Mus musculus: one gene and its partners. The protein of the gene in region 2 interacts with the protein of the main gene of each other region in a biochemical or structural test. Links are inferred from orthologs where the notes say so. Each region holds a gene or a part of one and is shown on either strand. Other genes may lie near its edges.

Region 1 (3,800 bases), on a different chromosome or scaffold from region 2:
TATTTTCCTCTTCCCCACACCCTGGCTCTGAGGGGCCTGATGTTCTCTGCTTTCTCCTTAGGCTCGTCTTGTTCTTTCTACTTCAAGAAATAGGTTCTTACCGCAGCCCTCTGAAGTCCCTTAGCTGTGACAGTCACTCACAGGGGTATGCTCCCACTGGCAAGTAACCCCAACCACTACTTAGAAATTGGTGGCTTCTAAGAACCCGAACTTGTTTACAGGAAGGCTGAAACATTCTCAAGTTCAAATCAAGATCTTATCTTCCAAAATTTTTCCCAGCAGGAAAGCCCTTCCCAGCCTAAACAGCTTTTTGTTACCATTAAGATCATTACATTCTGCTCACGCTGACAGTAAATAAATGAGGGGGGAATCAGAAAGGTGAATTGTTAGAATGGGAAGTAAAATATCTGGCTTAAGTCTGAGGGAACCATAGCAGCTCCAAGCATGAATGGAAGGAGCCACCCTAAATAAAATACTGAGAGATGTAAACTCCATTAAAGTGTTTGGCTAAATCGAAATTCTTTTAGCCTTTCCACAGATCCCAGAATATTTGGAGCCTAAAGCATTGTTTAATACTCTGCTCAGCCCTTGATTCTGGCCCCAATGGAGCCTCCACAATGAAAAACAGCACATGAAATTGGATCCAGGCTCTGCCCACAGCCTGGACTGAGTGTATTTTACTGTCCACACATGCTGTTGCTCAACCTCCAAGCAAGGGCCTCCTGCAGTCGCCCTCCAGCTATTAAAACAAAATTAACCAGCCCAGGGTCAAAGGTGACTGACACTGTTTCACCCCAGAACAGTGCCCCAGCTCCCTGTACCTCAAGCTCAGTCTCCCGTCGGTTGATATCATCCGTGGATTGATTTAACTTCTCCAGTTCTCCCTAATGAAGAGAGAGAGAGAGAGAGAGAGAGAGAGAAATTAGAAGGGCTGGGCTTTTGTTTTTAGTGTAACTTAGTTTACAACTGGAAGGTCATCCCTGAATGATGCAAGTCGGTTCATTCCTCAAGAAGACAGCTGAGGCTCGGCTAAAAGACAAAAGCCTAAAACCTGTTGTAGGCTGTGTCCTTTTTTTTTTGGACGCCTTTAAAGTCCTACAGATTTATCTTTCTCTGAAAAGTCATTGTTCTTTTTTTTTTTCTTTCAGGTGAACTCATCTGTCATAAACAGTAACTTAACCCAGTCAAAACAGCACCCTTTGCTTTAGGAAAGAACTTTTCGAGGAAATCAGAACAGGACAATACGGCCAGTGCAGCCCAGCCAAAGGCAGACTTCCAGCATTAACTCATCATGGGCTATCTCCCTATAAAGAGATGATTTTTTTTTTTTCTAACTGCGAACTATTTGCCCTGCCTAACTGGGGTGTTGGTTAACTGACTGTAACCCTACCTCTTTTAAACATTTGCAGTCTGACATTTTGTAAGTAGCCAACATGAGTTAACTCATCCTCGTTCAGCTCATCTTTGCTCTGTGAACAAAGGTCTTGCTAACAAAATTCCACACCAAATCCACAAGATTCTGTAATCCAAGCCCAGGGCCCGAATTAACAGAATAACCAATGAGGAGGTTTTCTTACTGATCTTTAGTGTATTGACTTGACAAAATAATTAATTTAAGCCAAACTGATGAATTTAAAGCAGGCTCTTTTTTTTTCTTTATCTGTGCACTTAAAACCAATTATGGATCCAGAAATTGCAAAGTATGTTTAATAGCTATTTTTTAAAAAATGATTTATGGAAAGGGTACAAAACGGGTCATGAAAAGGAATTTGCTTTGTGCTTAGGAAGGTGAAGAGGTTAAGCTGTCACTCCTGGAAATTGTTTTTTAACTCTCTCTCCTGGAAATGGAGGCACAGAAAGCCAGGCATTCTCTGCTTTCCCTGCCTCCACGCGTCGGCTTTGCGCAGCAGCTGTCCCTGGTGGACGTTCACACTGACCTCACAAGGAAAAGGAGGGTTTTAAACAGTCTCAGGCCAAGTGCAACACAGTGCCAACGGTGGCAACGGCAACGACGCCCACCATGTGTTGACAATGAAGAGGACGGCAGCCCAGGCCAGGTGAGGGCTCACGAGGCACCCCACACCGGTGCAGCCCACACTACAGGGGCAAGCGACAGCCACCTTGCCCTGCTCGCCCACCACGATGTCTGCATCCACGCAGGTGGGATAACGCTGCGCTGCAGCCCCGAGGCTGTGCAGTGCTCCAAGCGTGGCGCTGAGGTACCCCGACTCCGCTCGGGGCCCCCGCCCCCTTTTTCCTTTGTTGCAATCCGCCTGAACAGCTGGTCGTGTAGTAGGGACCCTCGGGTTGGGCCGAGGGTCTGCAGGGATCCCCGCAATAATCAGGCCGCGTTCACGCGGGCACCGAAGCCTTCCGCAGGGAGACCGTGAAATGGGGTGTTCCAACCCTTGGTGAAGATCCTGAATTTAGGCAGCCCCCACCCCGCGACCGCGAACACGCGAGGCTGTAAGGCATGTGTCTGCGTTAGATGCCGACTTCCACGGTAGCCCTGGTGGGGTGCGGCTGTGGGCTCCTGTCACGCGTCCTACCTGGATCCGGGGGTCCACCTCTTCCTCCTCCTCCTCCAGGCCCTGTTCCATCCTCTCTTCCTCCTCCTCTTTCTCCTCCACCTCCCGGGCAGGCGGCGGGAGCTCCGCCGGCTCGTCAGAGCGGCTCCGTTTCAGCGCCGTGTCCATGCGGGCAGCCGAACGCGCCGCAGCCGGGTCGCAAAGCGCACGGTGGGATCCGGACGCACCGAGGGCCACCTCGCCGCAGCCGGGTAGGTCTGAGCGCGCAGCGCTGCCACCCCGGGTGCTCCGCCGGCGAGTGCGGAGTGGCAGAGGAAGTGGGCGCGGCTGCCCCCTGTCTGCAGCGGCCCGCAGTACACCGCACCCACTTTGCCCAGGCCGCCGTGATAGCCTGTGTCACCCGACACTCTGTCACAAAAAGCCCAGTGCACTGGAGTCCCGGCCATGGCCACTAGGAGAGGTGCCGCCCAGTGGCTCACCAGCCCGAGCGTGGGCCGCCTTAAGGTAGTTTCCTCCTGCCTCCAGTGAAGCAGATCAAGGCACAGAAGGAAAGTTCGGGTGATTTCCATTCTTCAAAGCTACCTTTGTGTCTATTTGGAGTCACAGAAAAGGGAACTCTACCCTAATCTTGTCTGTACAGCAGACAGAGGATGGCTAGCCAGGTCCAGCCACCGAGTGGACATCATAGCCTGGAGTCTGCTGGGCAAAGCTCGGCAAGCGAAGGCATGAGCTCTTAGGGCTTTCCTGGATATTCTGAATGCACGAAGAGCCCATGGAGCTGGGGGGGGCGGGGGGGGAAATCTATGGATCGGGCGGCTTTTTAAAGAGATTGCCCTGCTTGCTCGTGGCAAAGCTTGCCCAGTGTAGGAACTATGTGGTTCTGCCCAACATCACCAAGCTAGAGCTTGCCTAGCCAACTGGGCATCACAAAAGGGCTAACAGTGGACAGGTTTCTCTGAACGTTTACAGGTGCTAGGGCCACTGTGAGGTCAGGGACTACCTGGTCAGATGCCCTGAGCAAAGTGGATACTTTGTAGAGGGAGTTTGGAGGACAGCTTTGCTTGAGAGAGTTGTTCTCGGAGCCTGTGATCCTGCCTTTTCCCCCACCTCAGAAGCAAAGCAAAGGGGTATCTGTCCTCTTTCTCAACTGGTCAGTCTTCTTCAAAGCCAGTACCAGAGAATCTCACGTGTACCACAGGCCTCCCGTGCTTCAATCTCCCCTCTGGAAAAGCCTGACCCTGTGTTCCCTTCCAACAGTTTCCCGTATTAGGT
Region 2 (3,500 bases):
CTGGCCTAGAAGCCAACCAAGCACTCTCTCTTTACAGGTGGTATTCCAAGCACATGACTCGAAGTCAAGCTGAGCAACTGCTAAAGCAAGAGGTGAGTTCAGGCCGCAAGCAAAATGCATTCTCAGTACACAATATGCAAAACCCAGAATTAGGTCCAACTTTAAACTGCACTCCCAGTTTGAGCTTTTGACGCATTAAAAGTGAAGAGGTTGCATCTCCAGCAGGGACCTTGAGCAGAAAGTCAGGGCTATTCTATTTTCTCTCTCCTGTGTTTGGCCAGGTAGGATGCAGACATAAACACTGTAGCAGTGAATTTGTTAAACTGCTCTGGCTCCTGGAGCCAGCTAATTTTGATATGCCTTGATATCGGTGATATCAATGATTGATAGTTCAATGGCTGGGCACTTCGAAACCTCCCCTCGGCTAGCACACACTTCCCTCAGGTATTCCTGGTTTAACATCTTCTAAATCTCTATTTTATCTTTGCTGCCCTATTACTTTCTGGGCACTGCCCCCCCACCCCCCACCCCCACCCCCGAGTATTCCCTTTCCACCTACATTGCTAGATGGTTTCTCTCCTGCAGCTCTTAAATCTGACCCCTCTGCCTCCGAGTCAGTGTGATTCTCCCCTTTCTCTCCCTCTTGCTCCCTTGCCCACTTAATCTAAAGGTCCCATCTCCTTGCCTTGCCGTTGGCTGTATGGCAGTTCTTTATTATCAATCAATATAATCAATATAATCCCAGCTTGGGGCAGGGATCCTCAGGTCTGGAAGTGCGGCTTTTAGGAGCCGAAATAAGACAAAAGCATTAGAACCAATTCCCAACAAAACACCATTTTCTTTTACAGTGAACTTCTTTTTTGTTGTTTCAGGGGAAAGAAGGAGGTTTCATTGTCAGAGACTCCAGCAAAGCTGGAAAATACACCGTGTCTGTGTTTGCTAAATCTACTGGGTACGTGTTATGGTTCCAGTGATATGGGGTTAAAGGTTAAGGGTGGCCTCCCAACACTTCCTCTTTCACTTTCTCAGCCTTAAACATAAAATTGCCTCACTTCATTGTCCAGGTCCTTCCGTATCTTGTTCCCAAGTTACTGACTGAATATAATTTCCTCAGGGAGCCTCAAGGGGTGATCCGCCATTACGTTGTGTGTTCCACGCCACAGAGCCAGTATTACCTGGCTGAGAAACACCTCTTCAGCACCATCCCTGAGCTCATTAACTACCATCAACACAACTCTGCAGGTGAGTGCCTGCAGGCAGCAGAGAAGGCTTGCAAACACCCAGGGAAGCAATTCAAAACAAGGAGAGAGAAAGTAGTCCCACCAAGCAGTGTGAATTAGTTATGAAAGTTAGTCCCTGTGACGCTGAACAAGGTTCGAGTCAAGATGTAGTCACACACACACACATTGACTTATTTATTTATTTTCTTTTTCTTTTTTCTTTTTTGTTTTTTCGAGACAGGGTTTCTCTGTGTAGCCCTGGCTGTCCTGGAACTCACTCTGTAGACCAGGCTGGCCTCGAACTCAGAAGTCCATCTGCCTCTGCCTCCCAAGTGCTGGGATCAAAGGCGTGCACCACCACACCCAGCTTATTTTTATTTTTTATTTTTATGTAGTGCCCCACCACGCCCAGCTTATTTTTATTTTTTTATTTTTATGTAGTGCCAGGGAATTTAACCCAACATTCTAGGCAAGTGTTCTACCATTGAGCAACTCTCTCAGTCCTGTTTGTTTTTACTTTTGTTTTCTTTTGGGTTTTCAAGACAGAGTTTCTCTATGGAGCCCTGGCTATCCTAGAACTCATTCTGTAAACCAGAGATCTGCCTGCCTTTGCCTCTGCCTCTGCCTTCCAGTGCTAGAATTAAAGCATGTGCCACCACATCTGGCTTTACTTGTTTTTAAAAAAATTTACAATTTTTTATTAATTCTTCATAAATGTCACATCATGTACCCCAATCTCACACATCTCCCCATCCCTTCAATATCCGCCCTCCACCCCTGCAACTTCCCTCCCAAAAGAAAGCAAAAAATAAAAATAGAAATGAAAGACAAACAAACAAAGAAGTAAAAACTCTGGCCCTGGAAGCAGCACACCCTTTCCCCTAATTGGCTTTACTTGCAAATGTTCACTGCAACGAGCCATTGGTCTGGTTCAAGGCCTCTAGCTTCTGCTACACTATCAATACTGGATCCTCACCAGGACTCCTTTTGGAAATCCTTTTTTTTTTTTTAAAGATTTATTTATTTATTATATGTAAGTACACTGTAGCTGTCCTCAGATACTCCAGAAGAACGCATCAGATTTCGTTATGGATGGTTGTGAGCCACCATGTGGTTGCTGGGATTTGAACTCAGGACCTTTGGAAGAGCAGTCGGTGCTCTTAACCACTAACCCACTAAGCCATCTCGCCAGCCCCAGAAATCCTATTTTTTTGCCCTTGGTCATGGAGATCCTGCAGCTTTGGGATCTGTAGGACTGGCCTCTCCACAGGCTCCATAGATGGGGTGGATGTTGGGGTGGGCCAACTCAGAGCCCTGGATCTGGGCCTGGGAAGCATCTGAGCTGGTCAGCCCACCCACTCTCTGGCACCTGCATCACCAGGGTCAGCTCTCCCACTTTTCCCAATCAAGGGGTGGGGCTGGCTCTCCTGTCTCACACCCTTGGGGCTGGCTCACCCATGCCCCCACCAACAGAGCCAACTCTACTGTGCTGCCCAGGCAATGGATGTGGGAAGGGACAGTTTACCTTTTATTTTTACGCAGGCTCTTACTATGTTGTTAAGACTGGCATGGAACTTACTCTGTAGGCCAGGCTATCCTTGAATTCCTGATTCTCCTGCCTCAGCTTCCTGAGCTGGGGTTACAGGCTTGTATAGTGGGACTGACAAGACTATTTCTCTTCCTCATCTGCCATTTATATTTATTATTTTAAAGTGTGTTTGTGTGCGTATGAGTGTTTGAGAGAGAGAGAGAGAGAGAGAGAGAGAGAGAGAAGAGAGAAGAGAGAAGAGAGAACAGGCGCCTATGGGGTCTAGAGGCATTGGATTTCCTGGAACTATGGTTATGTGGGTGCTGGGAACTGAACTCAGGTCCTCTATAAGAACAGTATGTGCTCTTAACCACTGAGCCACTTCTCCATCTGAGGACTAACTTCTTACTTGGTGCTAAGTGAAGATGCGATGATACAGTGACTAATGAGTCAGAGCATGTTCACTAGCAACTATTCAGTGTTCCTACCACGTACCCTTGCAATTCAGTGTTCCTACCACGTACCCTTGCAATTCATTCAGTTCTAGGAGGGAATAAACTTCTGAGTCAAGATGCTTTTTCCTGCTTATTTTTGATTCAATAAAGTTTTATTTTCCCCAAATGTACAGCTGATTGAACCTGTTCCTGCACCTTCACCAGCAGCTGGGGCATCTCCACCCCTTGTGTTTCTGGTGTAAATGGGCTCTGTGCTTTGAAACCAGCTTGAGCAGTCCTTTAGTAAGGAGCTCCAGA
Region 3 (3,724 bases), on a different chromosome or scaffold from region 2:
CTAGCTGGAGGCAGAGGCTGCGCTGTCTGCATAGTAGACTACATTGCATCTTGGGCTGCTTAGAAGACCCTGTTTCAACCTCACCCCTCAAAGATAAACAGACACAAGTTGTAATTGCAAAGCTCCGCCTGCTGGTGTGTTTCTAGGTACAAGTTGTAGGCATTATTTTCATAGGGAGAGCATGACTTTCTGTGTGAATGACTTTGGCAGGTGCTATTTTGTGCTTTACTTAATAAAAAAAATGGTTCTGAGGAGTCATACTTTTGGAAACCATCAGTTTTGACTGGGTATGATGGAACACTGCTTTAATCCCATAGTACGGGACACTGAGGCTGAACTCATGAATTCTCAGGCCAGCCTGGACTGTATAGAAAGTGCCTGTCTTAAAACAAGTGAACAGCCACAAGCAGTTTTAAGTTTAGAACATGACAGGTACCCAGGCAAAGGCTCTGTTGCTGTAGATGGAGCTGCACAGGGCAGCCCAGCACCCTCCCCTTACATCCTCTGTGCACCTTAGGAGTACTTCCTATCCCATTCCCAGGGCTGCTGGGAATCTTACACTGGGGCCTTTACTTAAGATTTTGTAGCCAGGCGTGGTGGTGCACGCCTTCAATCCCAACACTTGGGAGGCAGAGGCAGGCAGATTTTTGAGTTTGAGGCCATCCTGGTCTACAGAGTGAGTTCCAGGAGAGCCAGGGCTACACAGAGAAACCCTGTCTTGAAAAACAAAACAAAACAAAACAAAAAAACGACAACAACAAAAAGATTTTGTTTTGGTTATAATTAAGTATATCTTCTTGTTATTCTTGAGAGTAGGTTGGATTGATTTCGGTAATTATCTGACATTAAAGTATTGGCTCTAACATTTTAGTGTGCTACATTATTCCAGCAGGACTATATGCCCCAAGCAAGTTATGCAGGAAACGGCACCTCCTTCGGAGGAGTGCCACTGACATACATTTTAATTCGTGATGTGGCATAATCTACTTTCCTAAAAGGTGTATGTCCAACATCGTCTTGATTTTTGTAGCATCTCTCTTCTCTGTGGAGGAGTAGTCATGGAAACACACAAGCTCAGGCACTTACTCTGACAGTACTGTTTGATTCCGAGTGTGCTTGCTCTCTGCTGTGCGCTTTATGCTGTGCTGTGCTCTGCTTCCCTCACAGGTGTTTTGCTGGAGATCAATCAGCAGTTCTCTGAAGCAGTGCCGATGGGCCTATCCTCGCCAGGTGTCAATCTCCGATATTGCTTTAAATAGAAATGAAATTCTGTTTGTCACACAGGATGGGGAAGGATTTAAAGGGAAATGGTTTGAAGACAAAAGAAAGAATTCTGAAAAGAAAGGTCAGTTAGTATGACTGCCCTTAGTACCCTAGTCAGCTTTGGATGTGTTAGGTACTGCTCGGCTGACCTCTAAACTGTGTGTTTGCCTTTGTGCTTAGTTCAGTGCCTGTTTGCTACAGACTGTAAAGTCACTCATGGCACAAGGCATGGGTGTCCCTCTCTGTCATTAGCATTGAATGTACTCTCTGGCATTGTGGTCCTTCATTACGTCCTCTTGAGTCACTGAGCTACCTGTTAAATGCTTACAGCATATCTTAACATTTATGATTGCTCAGAGTTATAAATGCATCAAAATTATAAAACATAAAATGAAGAGTTTTGCATAATATTGGTTTCTTGTGTTTTATATTTTTATAGATGACTCAAGTCTATAAACATGCAAGGTGTATTGACTATGCAAAAATGTGGGACTCACAGCTTATAGAACCAAAAGATATTTTTACTTAAAGTTCCCTGAGGCAGATAACTATTATAAGTACACATGAGTTTCTTAAGAGCATTGGAGTTAGAATTACTGAGTGGTAGAGGAAGCATAGCGAAGTCCAGGAGCCTGAAATAGTCTACATTTGAGAGTGTAACCAGAGCATGGGTCTGTCTTGAAGGGTTTGACATCATTCTCTTAGTGGTCTGACACAGAATTTGCGATCTCAGGCTCCCTGAGCTGATTCTCAGTGTTTTCTGCCCTAGTGACTGGCTGTACTTTAAACTCCATACCGTCCCTTACTTTTAGCAGTTGCTATGTTGTGCTGCTCCTATCTTAATTTATTTTAAAGATTTATTCCCTTAATTTATGTATATGAGTACACTCTCGCTGTCTTCAGACATAACAGAAGAGGGCATCGGATCCCATTGTAGATGGTTTGGAGCTACCATGTGGTTGCTGGGAATTGAACTCAGGACCTCTGGAAGAGCAGTCAATGCTCTTCACCAGTGAGCCATCTCTCCAGCCCATCTTAATTTTTTTTTAAAAATCATTCCTTTTCCCTTCTCCTGGTTGATTGCAACAGTCCCAATCTAAACCATCTTTATTATTTCTGTTGACTTAATAGTCTTTGTGTATATTTTCTCATTTAAAATTTTTCTACTGTAGCCAGAAAATTTTTTTTATAGGTGCCATATCTACCTGGAACCATTTTATACTTTGTTTTATAGACTGAATTTGACTATTTATTAGTCATATTTTTATTGCATGTTCTCATTACTCTTCTTGAGGATAGGGACATTTTGCCCTGACTCAGTAGTAGCACAGTGTGGTCATTTGGGCTCCGTGCCTGCAGAGAATGGAGGGAGCGTGTGGTGACACTTGGGTTCATACAGGGTTAATATAGGTAGGCATGCCGTTCTGAAAGTTAACTTGGGCTGCAGTGTGGAAGGTGTGTTTGTCGGAAGAAGATATGGCTGATACTGAAAATTCTCTGTGTATGTAGTAAGTACACAGAGCGTAATGCTGTGTTGAAGATGGAGAGGTTCTAAATTCTTCAGAAGAACTTCATGTGTATGAAAGATACTTTTATGTTTTTAAATAATTTTTATTCCAGTTACTCTAATTTCATTGCAGCCTTGATTAATGATAGTTCGTTTATTTTCTTTTTAGCAGACATTTTACCAAACCTCCATCATTCCTCATCAGATGTGTCTTGTGTCCCTGATACAAATAGTGTGTATGAAAGAATTCGACTTGAGAAACTTCCTTTTGCCCATAGAGCTGTTAGTGTCAGCACAGATCCAAGTGGGTGCAACTTTGCAATCCTACAGTCAGACCCTAAAACAAGGTATAATTGTCTTTAATATATTCTATTTTTAGAAGGAATAATCATTAGACCTTCTTTTGTTTTCAGTAGCTCCTGATGCATATTCAATTGAGGAGCTGTTAGTAAGATCTGTAGAGACGTTCAGCAAATGAGTATGTTACAGGGCAATCACTGGGATAGTGTGTCTTCCCCTAGTGTGTACCTGAAAACACTGAAGATGGTGCATATGCCCACACAGCATCTGTCTTTAGCCCATGCTGTACTTGAGAGTCCCGGGCTCTGAAGGATGTAGTATAAATACTTTTTAGGTAGTGTGTAAAAGTTTCTGACTTTTGAATATGATAATTGACAAAAAAGAGGTGGTATGGTCACAGAAAATATATTAGGAGATATATTAGGGGAGAGAGAAGAGGAACATTAGTGGCATTGGTGGAGAGGGAGGAGGACCTGGAAGTGGGGTGACCATCCATTCTGGTTTGCCCAAGTCCGAGGCAGAGCGAGAGCAGTAATCACCTCCCTTGCTAGGGTGTTATATGGACGGACAGGGTGTGGTTACAAGTATGGAGCACTCAGGCTTGTAGACTGATTGATATATATATATTTTTTTTTCACTTGTGTGAGTAACTAT

What was found.
Region 1: the proteins of Btk (region 2) and Sh3bp5 form a complex in vitro, tested with the Homo sapiens proteins (2 studies listed by BioGRID, with this or other methods). The link is inferred for Mus musculus from reciprocal best matches to the Homo sapiens genes BTK and SH3BP5.
Region 3: the proteins of Btk (region 2) and Ibtk form a complex in vitro, tested with the Homo sapiens proteins (2 studies listed by BioGRID). The link is inferred for Mus musculus from reciprocal best matches to the Homo sapiens genes BTK and IBTK.

The regions. Positions count from the first base shown.
Region 1 is NC_000080.6:31,433,262-31,437,061, forward strand, and holds the start of Sh3bp5 (SH3 domain-binding protein 5), read right to left. Parts: upstream 2,840-3,800; 5' UTR 2,697-2,839; coding exon 2,550-2,696; exon of another isoform or gene 1,938-2,549; intron 885-1,937; coding exon 822-884; intron 1-821. UniProt on the Homo sapiens protein: Functions as a guanine nucleotide exchange factor (GEF) with specificity for RAB11A and RAB25. Inhibits the auto- and transphosphorylation activity of BTK. Plays a negative regulatory role in BTK-related cytoplasmic signaling in B-cells.
Region 2 is NC_000086.7:134,552,141-134,555,640, reverse strand, and holds part of Btk (tyrosine-protein kinase BTK), read left to right. Parts: intron 1-37; coding exon 38-92; intron 93-872; coding exon 873-952; intron 953-1,114; coding exon 1,115-1,242; intron 1,243-3,500. UniProt on the Homo sapiens protein: Non-receptor tyrosine kinase indispensable for B lymphocyte development, differentiation and signaling. Binding of antigen to the B-cell antigen receptor (BCR) triggers signaling that ultimately leads to B-cell activation.
Region 3 is NC_000075.6:85,721,668-85,725,391, reverse strand, and holds part of Ibtk (inhibitor of Bruton tyrosine kinase), read left to right. Parts: intron 1-1,167; coding exon 1,168-1,345; intron 1,346-2,939; coding exon 2,940-3,117; intron 3,118-3,724. UniProt on the Homo sapiens protein: Acts as an inhibitor of BTK tyrosine kinase activity, thereby playing a role in B-cell development. Down-regulates BTK kinase activity, leading to interference with BTK-mediated calcium mobilization and NF-kappa-B-driven transcription.